Elephas maximus indicus: one gene and its partners. The protein of the gene in region 2 interacts with the protein of the main gene of each other region in a biochemical or structural test. Links are inferred from orthologs where the notes say so. Each region holds a gene or a part of one and is shown on either strand. Other genes may lie near its edges. The genes, in order: CLDN7, TJP1 and CLDN1.

Evidence for each region.
Region 1: the proteins of TJP1 (region 2) and CLDN7 form a complex in vitro, tested with the Homo sapiens proteins (2 studies listed by BioGRID and IntAct, with this or other methods). The link is inferred for Elephas maximus indicus from reciprocal best matches to the Homo sapiens genes TJP1 and CLDN7.
Region 3: the proteins of TJP1 (region 2) and CLDN1 form a complex in vitro, tested with the Homo sapiens proteins (2 studies listed by BioGRID and IntAct, with this or other methods). The link is inferred for Elephas maximus indicus from reciprocal best matches to the Homo sapiens genes TJP1 and CLDN1.

The regions. Positions count from the first base shown.
Region 1 is NC_064837.1:13,597,292-13,601,036, reverse strand, and holds CLDN7 (claudin-7), read right to left. Parts: upstream 2,630-3,745; 5' UTR 2,150-2,629; coding exon 1,927-2,149; intron 1,088-1,926; coding exon 923-1,087; intron 799-922; coding exon 714-798; intron 608-713; coding exon 445-607; 3' UTR 340-444; downstream 1-339. UniProt on the Homo sapiens protein: Plays a major role in tight junction-specific obliteration of the intercellular space.
Region 2 is NC_064831.1:94,005,879-94,009,623, reverse strand, and holds the start of TJP1 (tight junction protein ZO-1), read right to left. Parts: upstream 2,798-3,745; 5' UTR 2,783-2,797; coding exon 2,610-2,782; intron 1-2,609. UniProt on the Homo sapiens protein: TJP1, TJP2, and TJP3 are closely related scaffolding proteins that link tight junction (TJ) transmembrane proteins such as claudins, junctional adhesion molecules, and occludin to the actin cytoskeleton.
Region 3 is NC_064819.1:24,727,162-24,730,906, reverse strand, and holds the start of CLDN1 (claudin-1), read right to left. Parts: upstream 2,719-3,745; 5' UTR 2,497-2,718; coding exon 2,274-2,496; intron 1-2,273.

The DNA of each region.
Region 1 (3,745 bases), on a different chromosome or scaffold from region 2:
TATTTAAGCAAGGGTTGTGACTGGGGGAAACTGGAGGCTGGGAACCGTTAAGAGAAGCCAAGCCCCTTGGTCTTTAGAGTCAATAGCCAAGGTATTGGGGCCTGAATTACAGTGAAAAGGAAAGGGAGGAGGGGCAGGGACAGCCTTGCACATCAATAATGCCCAATAAGCATTTTTGAACAGAGCTACAAGTAAGTGCACTTAGGCTTCAGGCTCCCTGCTAGAATCTGGGCAGGAAGAAGAGACCCTGAAGGGAAAAAAAACAGGCGTGTTTTCCAAAACATTTTTATTACTGTACAAAAAGCACACCCTGCCCCCCTTTTTTTCCCCTCACCCAACCCACCCCCCTCAGAGAACCATACTTTGTGTGCAGCAGGGCTGGGATGACCACAGGGCCTTTGTTGGGCACCCTGCCCACACACAGGCTGAGCTCTCTGCCCCAGGTCACACATACTCTTTGGCAGAGTTGGATTTAGGGTAGGAGCGGGGCGCCCGGTACCCAGTTTTGCTCTCACTGCCTGGACAGGAGCAAGACAGCAGTGCACCCCCCAGAAGGACCAGAGCTGACCCTGCCCAGCCAATAAAGATAGCAGAACCAAACTCGTACCTGTGAAGAGAGGGAATTGGAGTTAGAAACCCAGTCTGCCTCTGCCCTCCTCCCCACTCCAGGACCCCAGACCTGTCCCTTTAGGAGGCAGGGCTCCCAAACTTACTTAGAATTCACGGGGATCAGGGAGTTATAAAAGTCTGCGACAATCTGATGGCCGTACCAGGAGCAAGCTATTAAGGCAGCCAGACCTGGAGACAAAATGGGAGATTAAGATGTAGCGAGCCCTCGACCCACGGCTCTGCTCACCCTTGTTCCTCTGGGACTGGGGAGAGGAGGACCTTTGGGCAGACAGGCCTCGGTACTGTGGCTCACCTGCCACGATGAAAACGATGCCTCCCGCCATGGCTATACGGGCCTTCTTCACTTTGTCGTCTCCTCCACAGCGCGTGCACTTCATGCCCATCGTGGCCACGAACATGGCCAAGAAGCCCAGCACCAGCGATACCACCATTAGAGCTCTAGTGGCCTGCAAGGCCGCTGCAGGGAAGAGGGAGGGACGCCGTCATTGCTGGTGATGCGGGCGGCTATCGGGCGGCCCCAGCCTTCGCGCCGCCGGCCGCGCCCACTAACCCCTGGACCCTCGTCTGGCGGACGCTCGGGTCCCGCGGCCGGCCTGGGGCCTCGCGGCGGCCAAGCCCCAGACCACGGCCGGCTGGGTCCCGCCCTCCCGGCGCCGCGGCCTTCCTGCTCCCGCCCCGCCCTCTCCTCTCAGGGAGCCGCCCGGGGCCCAGGGTTTCGGTGAAACTGCCCCGGCGAGGGGGAAGGGTGAGCCGGGGCTGCGAGGAGGAGCCGGGCGGCGACCCGAGCCCGCGCACCGCCGCAGGTCCCGGGCCGCGGCCCCGCTCCGAGCCCGCTATCGAGGCCACCGGGTTTGTGGCTTCGGCTAATCGGCCGATAAGATTAGAGGCCGCAGGCGGCGGCCCACGCCTGCCAGGCCGCGCGGCTCCCAGGCCTTCGACCCAAACCCCCTTTTGTTCGAGAGAAATGGGCGGGAGGCGGCGGAGGCCACGGCCTGGCTACAGCGGCTGGGCAGGGGGCGGCCTCAGGCGCCGGCCCCCACGAAGGGTTGGGCCGCGGGCGGCAGCCGCGAGGGGGCCCGGGCCGGACGAGGAGGGCTCTGGCAGCAGGAGCGGCTCGGGTGCGGCCGGCCAGCTCCCGCCCGGCACCCTAGCCTCGCCGGCCGCTTCTGCCTCTTCAGCGCCTCGCCCGCTCCCCGGCGACCCCGGGGCCCCGACCGCTGGGCCTCGGCCCTGCCCCGCACCCCACCCCCGACCTCGGCCCTGGGCGCGTCTGCCCCGTCGGTCCCACGGCCTTACCGGACAGAGAGAGCATCGAGTCGTACATTTTACAGCTCATCAAGCCGGTGCTCTGCGTGACGCATTCCATCCACAGCCCCTTGTACATGGCCTGGGACGTGATGATGTTGTCGCCCGCGTACGAGCTCATCTGCCACTGCGGGATGGCTGTGCACGCCACCAGGCCCACCCAGCCCACAAGAGCCAAGGAAAAGCCCAGCAACTGCAGGCCCGAATTGGCCATTTCCCCCCCTCAGAAAAGACGGGGCTCCGGGAGGGCGACCCTGCAGTAAACAGAACTTGAGGGGCAACCCCACACAAAGGCAAGGTGGGATAGAGTTTTAAGTCACCCAAAGATACCAAAAGTTTTTGGTCGGTGACAGCAAATCTTGTCACCCAAAGTGAGCACAAATCGATTCCTCAGGCAGGGCGAGGGTCTCGCAGAAGAGAGGACAGGCTACGCCTGGAGGAGTGGCTCCAAACAAAAGCGGTCTGCTAAGGTCGGGCGGTTCCCGCCGGTGCTGCCCGGGCGACCCTGCCCAAACAAGGTGGAAGGGCTGTATGGGCGCGGTCTCGGGTTCTGGCAGGCCCCAAAATACCCCGGGCTGTCGGCCCCAGGCTGCGGTGCGCGGAAGAGGCTCCTCTGCGGTAGGCAGGCAGGTGCGGGCGGACAGGTGCGGCGCACCTGAGTATATGTAGGGCGTCGGGGCCGCGCCCCCGCGGGCACTGGGTGCGCGGGACGGGAGAGGCGGGACCGGAGGGGCGGCCGAGGGTGACCTGACGTCACCGAAGGGACACTCACCTGAACCGGAAGTTCTGGCCCCCACCCCTCCTAGCCCAGGTAAAGAGGAAGAAACCTGAGTATCAGGGTCACGCCCCTTCGCTTGCCCGGCTTTGACCGGAGGTGGGGAGGAGGCAGCACTTCTTCGGAATTCCAAACTCAAAATCAGCCCCTCCGGACTAGACTTCCCTTAGCGACCCATATGCCCCTTTCCCTCACCCCAACAGGTGCACCTGGGAAGCCGCGGAGCCAGAGCGGGGGGACGACCTCTTCAGTTTCGACTCCACCTCCTCCCCACCAGGACTCTGGGTTTCTGGTCTAAATGGTCTTTGTCCCTCCCTGCTTTCCTCCCCACCCTCTGCTTTTTCCCTTTTTCTTCAGTCTCCTCCCTTAGCGATCACACATTCAGGGGCCCTGGCCCCAAGTCCTCAGAAGTCCCCGCTTCTGCACCTTCTTTAGGATCTCCATGCTCAGCGCCACCACCTCAGCGCCACCACCTCAGCACTCCTCTTCGATGTCCCTTGTAGTCCGTGACGGAGCCTTCCAACAGACACCCTACTTCCGGGCATGGCTCCCCAACAACCCGCGCCTTTCAGGCCCCCCATTCCCATCCCTGACATGACTTAGTACCTGGATCCCTCTCCACACTACCTTCGGGCCTGGCTCTGGTCCTCCTCCTGCTCCTTGCACCAAGGTTCCTTCTAGCAGAAACCCGCACAGCACAGGATAGAAAGCATAAAGGAAAAGCCTAGCTCAGAGTATTGGCCACACCTGTCCTTCCTCTTTCTTGGAGTCTTTTGAAACCAGTCCCCACCGTCTCCCCTCCCCCACCACACACATTTCTTTCCTTCAGGCTGAGCCAGGAGCCCTCTATTTGTGTTCATTATTGGACCTCCTCAAGTTGATGTCCTACCTAATATTTGAACTCTCTAATAGGGCCTTTGAATCACCCCCCAGGTCCCCAACTCACACCCTGTTCTTTTTCTCACTCTTCCCAAGCAATTACCCCATTCTTTGTCCACACATCCCTTCCAAGCATCTCTATTTCTTCTTGCCTCT
Region 2 (3,745 bases):
AACAAACAGGGACAGGGAGCATGTAAAGCTTCACATGAATCTTCATAAAGAAGTGCAAACCATGTGTGCCACCGAGGCACCTAAACTGGCATAAGCAGGATGCATTTCAAGTTCTGACACACATTGCTAATGTCTGCTAAGGGTTTCCACGTACCCCCTGCAGTCATAATCCTCATATTTTCTAGCCATGTAATTGCGCCTTACATCTCAAATTCTCCTCCATGCAGTTGCTACAACCCAGTAAAAGGAAACATTATCTAGAAAAAAAAATTCCAGAGGGTTTAAAAGATAAACAAGCACAATATCCTCCAACTTAAAAATAAATAAATAAAGATTATACGCTATGTTTAAAAGTACCACCCACTCTGAGAGTGTTTGTAGAGTGTGCGCTTCATTTTGTCACTGCAGAAACTAGACTAACATTTGCATATCCATTTCACACTGAGTAGAAATTCTGAAGTGGTCATCTAAGATTATGGAAAAGTCCATCAAAATCCTCTGGCGTTTTCCAAGCTATCTCTTAGAAAGATGGTTTTTATCATGGCTTCCAACCAGTTTGTTCCTGCTGAGAATTTGCATTTCTAACAAGTTCCCTGTTGAGAATTTGCAGTTTCACCCCAGATATACTGAATCAGAATCTACATTTTAACAATACCCCCCAGGTGATTCTTATGTATAACTTCCTGGGAACTTGCTAAACGCGAATTCTCAGCAGGGGTTAAACCAGTGAACATCCGAAGCCCTGGTTTTTATCCCTGGCCTAGTCCACTGCGTGCCTCAAATATGAATCTCCACAGAATAAAAGTTACACGGATTTCACTTGATTGTGTCCTCTCTTCACAAACTCGATATTCTGGGAATGTATTTACAGAAGCAGTGCTCCAATGATGAAAACGAATAAACTTAGCTTCCTCATTTTGTGCCCAATTGCTGCTAATATTCATGCCTAACAGCTCCTCAAATATTAATTCCACACTTTAATTTTTAAATATAACATCAAGCAAGCAAATTTCCTTGACTTTCTTTCTCGATCATGTATGACTAATAATTAATTTATTCAATAAACATTTATTGAGAAGCTATTTTGTACCAGGGGATCTCTGCAGGGGGTTTGGCAGTGAACTAAGCAAACGGAAAGGGGCAGTGATGGCTCCCTCAGTGGTAGAATTCTCATCGTCCTTGTGGGGGAAAAAAAGGAGACCCACGTTCAATTCCTGACCAATGCACAGCCACCACCCATCTGTCAGTGCAGGTTTTCGTGTTGCTATGATGCTGAACAAGTTACGGCAGCACTTCCAGACTAAGACAGACTAGGAAGAAATGCCTGGCAATCTACTTGTGAAAATCAGCCAACGAAAACCCAATGGACCACAACAGTGTGACCTACAACATCCATGGTGCATGGAATCACTTGTGCACGGAGTTGCCACTAGTCCCGCCAACTTGACAGCAGCTAACAACTATAAACAGGTAAAAGGCCCACTGCCCTTAAGCAACTAACAGTCTAGTACTGGGAAAGGCAATTACATGAAAAACAAGTAAAATACTGTACTTTTACACAAATATCTTTATGGAGCCCTGGTGGTGCGGTGGTTAAGAGCTCGGCTGCTAACCACAAGGTCAGCAGTTCGAATTCACCAGCCGCTCCTTGGAAACCCTATGTGGCAGTTCTACCCTGTCCTATACGGTCACTATGAGTCAGAACCGACTATACCACTTTGTTGTTGTGTGGTTTCTGATGTATCTTTATATACCTCGAATCTTCCTTTCATGTTGTCTTACACAGCAGAATTGCTCCTCAAATGCCTAAAAGCAATCTTGGTTCCTTTTTTCTAAAACCTTAAATTATCAGTTTAATCTTGTCTATTTTTTTTTTTTATATACTCACAGTCTTTTTACTTGATTACTTGTTTTTCGATAATGCCTTGCACCTAAATCTCAAATCAATGTAATGCCTCGAACGCCACTGGGGTTCCATGTGACATAATTTAAATGGCAATAAAACAGAACACACAACCTGACACACATCTGTATAACTTGCAGACATTTTTCTTTATGGGCTTTCTTTTCCTGTCACCTCAATAATAGTTTTCAGGCGAGGAACTGCAACTCCTGCCGATAAGGCATAGCCCCTGATAATGCAATGATAATCTCACGATTTATTCCCGTTTACATGGGACCAGCTTGTCCTCTGCCATGTACCCAACAGCAGATGGACTTTGAAAAAATCACAATAAGCGCATAACGTGACAACAAAATTTTCGCTGCCTCCAAGAAAGCCTGGCTTGAAATTCTGAGCCAGAACTGGCTGGGACCGAGACCCAAGGGCCGACCCCCAGGCGGGAGACCAGCGCCCCGAGGGGCCGGGCCCGGCCCGGCCCCCTCCCGGCCACGCGCGGCGCTACGTGTCGCCGGGCACAGCCGAGGGTCGCGGCGGAACATGTCCCCGGTGCCGTGGGAGGCGGCGGCACCCGGCCCCCGGGCTTCGAAATGGCTGCTGCGCCCTGCGCGCTCCGCCGGCGGCCTCGCTGCCCGGCCCGGCCCGGCCCGGCCCCCGCCCGGCGCGGCCACTGCCCCGGCGCCGCCACCCCCGCGCGCGCCGCGCTCACCACAGCTTCCTCTTGAGCGGCAGGAGGCTGCCGCGGTTGGACGGCGTGACGCCGATGGCCATCTGCAGCACCGTCAGGTATTTCTGGTACTTCATCTTGTCCCCGCTCCGCTCGCGGGCAGGGCCCCGCCGCCGCCGCCGCCGCCGCAGACACAGCCCCTCCAAGCGCCGCATAGATCAGCTCTGGGCCATCGGCCGCGGCCGCCGCCACAGCCCCCGCCACTCCCGCCGCCGCGGCGCTGTGCGCCCGGCCCCGCTCCCGTCCCGCCGCCGCCGCCGCCGCCGCCGTGCGTGCCCGCCGCTCCCGCCGCCGCCGCTCCCGCCTCCGTGCGCGCTCGGGCCCCGCTCCCGCCTCCGTGCGTGGTCGGTCTCCCGCTCCCGCCGCCGTGCGCGCCCGGGCCCCGCTCCCGCCGCGCTGTCGTGCGTGGCCTGGCCTCCCGCTCCCGGCCTCGCCGCCGCCTCGCTCCCCCTCCGCCTTCGCGAGTCCTCCGCGCGGCCTGCGGATGCGCCCCGCCGGTGCGCACAGAGGGAGCGGCGCGCGCCGGCCTCACAGCCCGCCAGCCTCGCCTTGCCCCGTCCTGGAGCTGCGGGCAGAGGCCGGGGCGTCCCCGCGCCCCCTCGGGCTTCAGTTTTTTTCAGCTGCTGACAGAAAAACCAAACCCGTTCCTGTCGACTCTAATTCTCTCTCACAGCGACCGTATAGGACGGAGTAGAACTGTCCCATAGGGTTTCTAAGGCTTTAACCTTTACCGGCGCAGACTGCCACATCTTTCTCCTGCCCAGCGGCAGGTGGGTTTGAACAGCCGACCTTTTCATTAGCAGCCAAGCACTTAATCTCTGTGCCACCAGGGCACCGTAGCTGCTGATAGGAACTTGCTTTTAACTGTCCCCAAAAGAATCCCAACAGTACACATCCAGAATGAATAACAAAAAAAAAAGAATGACAGTAATTTTTAATTTATAATTACGATGTAATGATTTGTAACCTCATCTATTCTAAAGTTTTTTTGTATTTATATCTATAGATATAGATAGGGATGTGTGTGTATATATATATCTATGTTGATTTATCTACCAGCTGCCACCGAATCCATTCAAACTCATGGAATCCCACACTACCATGCAAAGTGAGCAATA
Region 3 (3,745 bases), on a different chromosome or scaffold from region 2:
TACCAAAACCACCAGTAAATCAACATCCCCGGTCTCTACACCAGGTGGGTGTGAGCACCACTGCTCAAGTGAGGAAACCGAGACAGTTCTCTGGGCTCCATCAAAAGGCAGCCAGTGAGTCACTGGTAGGTTGGGGGAGTGAACCTGTGACTCACAGCTCTCTCCTGGGAATGAGTTTTGAGAGAAAGGCCTCAGTCCTTGGATAAACCCTGGCTTAACCAAAATAAAAAGAAGAAATCTGATCAGGAGGAAAAGGGGAAAAAAAAAATCAAACCCATCAGCGAGAAATCTGCAAGCACGTACGTGTAGGGGGCAGGGGGAGGGGGAGACGGAAAGGGAAAGTATAGCTCTTCTACCATAGCTTTAAAAACTGCAATAACTGTATAATTAGGAACAAACGAAAATAAAACATGTGAACACATTACCATGTGGAGGGAAGATTTGGTTGAGCATTTACGACATAGATAAATCTGATTCCATTGAGTCATGAAAGGAAATTAAAAGAAAACCTACCTAAACATGTTGAAAGTAAACAACTTTGATCAAAGAAATAAAATTGACAACGAGGCTTCTCCAGAATTCCCTTCGAACCTTCTCTATCTGCCAATCCCTCAACATGGCACCCAAAATGTACAGTCTCTGACACTGTCTACGGGGAAATCCAATGAATATTTCCCAAACGTTCATGTTAGAAGAGTAAACATAACACAGATGGACAATAACCAACACATAATTACTAAAAGTATAAGTTAGTTTTGGGTACATAGGAGCCCTGATATGGAAACTTTGAAAAGCTGAAATGACAGTACTCAGTCCTCACATACAGAGTGATCCAATTCCACAAGTGTTTAGACAGATTCAGACCGTATCTATTTTATAACTCAAAACGACCCATCTTTTTAGAAAACCACATGTACTATTCAAAGGTGCACCTCAGTAGGGGGTGGACAATGCAACCAATGTAACCTTGAGCAATCGCCATGTTGTTTTACTTTCTGGGGCAGTCTGATTGCACACATCACCCTTAGCACTCAGAGGGACTTGATGGGCTGGTAGAGCACTGCTTGTTTACGTAGGCAAAGACCGAGGGAGCTAGTCAAGTTAGTTAGAAGAGTGTAACAGATGTACGGTGCCTGAGGACGGATACGATTTATTAAGACAGTTTAGCTATAGTCATTACCTAATGAAGAGGGCATTCAATGGCTTTCTTGACGTGGCACTCAAAAAGTTTTATTTTAAAAAAGAGAGGAAAAAAGCTCCTATGACCCTCTCCACACCATCCTTAGAAATACGCCAGGCTACACAGTCCTTTCCAGCTTGATAGAAGTGAGAAGACATCCTTCACAGAGGAAAGTCCTTCATGGAGGGCAGAAACTTGGAGAAGCAACCCCTCCTCATCTCCACGTTCCTCCCCTCCCCCAGCTGGCCTGGACTGTCATCACCTGTATCCATTTTGTTGCATTTTTCTTCAGCGCCTTTGTCCCTCCTTTCATACTGTGATTGGGAAGGTATTTAGAACTTGTCAGACTTTTCCACCTGCTCCCAAACTTCTCAACACCACCCAGCCTGCATCTTCTGAAGGTGCCCAGTTTGAGAGCTAAACCCTTTGGGGGAATCTCAGAGGCTTCTTCAAGGAAAAAAGTCTTGGGAGAGGATGCAAAAGGTCCTCCTCACCCTTACCGGATCTTAGAAATAGAAGGACCAAAATAATAAACCACAAATGGAAGCAGAAGACACTGTGATGGGACTTTTACTCTGGAGAGTCATTCTAAACATTAAAAAAAAAATCATCTAAGGCTTTGGAATTATCTATTTCCTTTTACCAATTTGAGCCTCCAAAGTTTTCAAGCCATCCCTTTTTAAAAATTTTATTCCAACCCTACCACTCTTCAATTTACACACAATGTGAGAATGTGTGTAAATTGAATCTGATTATGCTAAGAGCTTAAATTGGAGTTTGTCCTCCACCCTCTCAATCCACCCCCTTCCCCTAATCCGAATTTAAGATAAAACCACTCTTAGAGAGGAGAACGGTGTCGTCCAGAGAGTTAAAGGCAAAGCTAGAGTTTAGCCCTGGGCCACCCTTCTCCCAAACCAGGGTCCTGTCCACTTCCTCACGACAAGGCACAAGATCAGAATACCTGAGTAACTGACGACAGATAAACACACAATCACCCAACAGAATGAGCTGAGAGCCACTACTCCGTAACGGGGCCATGGGCTTGGGGTCTCCGGGCGGCGCGGTGGGTGGGTGGGGTGGGGGATGCACTTACTGGGCAGGTTGAGCAAGGAGTCAAAGACTTTGCACTGGATCTGCCCGGTACTCTGAGACACGCAGGACATCCACAGCCCCTCGTAGATGGCTTGAGCGGTGACGATGTTGTCGCCGGCGTAGGAGTAAATCTTCCACTGGGGCAGCGCGGTGCTGACGATGGCGCCAATCCAGCCCAGGAAGGCCAGGATGAAGCCCAGCAGCTGCAGCCCCGCGTTGGCCATGGCTCGCTCGGCGCCCGCGCTGGCGCAGGAGGCAGGTGGAGGAGGCGGAGAGTTTGCAAGTGTGCAGGCGGGCTCCGAGGGTGGCGGCGCCGCGCCGGGGAGCCGCTATTACGGAGATCCCTGCTTTCGGCACCGCCGCTGGAGAGGGTCCGGGTACCGGGCGGGGTAGGGCACCAGGTGGGCGCTGGAGTCAGGATGCTCCCGCTCTCAGACTCCGGGACTGGGAAGCCGGACTGCGGGCGCCGCAATTTAAAGCAGCCCCACCCCCGGCCCGGCCCGGCCCCCGCGCAGCGCCCCCTGGCGGGGAAAGGGAGGCTCGCAGGCAGGACGAGGCCGCTGCGCCCTAGGCGGGCCCTGCGGCTGCGGTGTGGGGACAACTCTTCCAGGACTAGACACTGTGTGCTCCTGCGCTCTCTCCTCTCCCTGTCTTTTCTTTCCTATTGGCATGCTTCTCCAGCTTTTCATTCATTCATTTATTCACTCACTGACTCACGCAATCAATCCACCTGTATCAAAAACTTAACCCTGGACGTGTAAACTCTAAAAATGCATAAAGATGAAAAAGAGACCTCAAGAGCGGCACATGTGAAATCTTCTTTTCAGTGTCTTATTAAAAAAAATTTTCTTTTTGCCTGCCCTTCCTCCCCTCCCCCTACCTCTCTCCTTCCTTCAGCTCCCCTTCTCCTTTTCTCCCTCTATCCTCTTCTTCCCATCCTGATTTCTCCTAGAATGTCAAATCTCTCTCTGCAAGAGTCATAAAAAGACCTATATTTTATAGATCAGGAAAATGAGATCAGAGAGGAAACCAGGTTTTCGTAAGATCACACAGCACGCTAGTAGCGCTTCCAGGACTTGAATTCCCGGCCCCGTCTGGTTTCCACCACATTTCAAGATGACCAGAACCTCCGCCCTTAATCCGTCTGGGTGCTTAGAAAAATGCATCTCACCCCTCTACACACACACAAAGCTTTTTCCCCAAAGCAGTTTGGCTTAGAGCAGAGCTTCATTATCACAGGAGCCTGGTCAGTGACCTCCACCCAAAGGCGAATTTATTAGTGAATTATCAGATAGAATTCATGAAAGGTGAGGTTATCTAAAAAATCTTTTCCCTTGGAATCATGAGGTCTGGGCTGGGATTTAGGAAGTCTGGGTTCTGGCTGGGGCTTTTGCAGTAACTGGCTGTGGCACCCTCTTGGGTTTTGATCTAATTGAGCCTCAAGTTTCCCCTTGTGGGTCTCTGAAGGTTCCT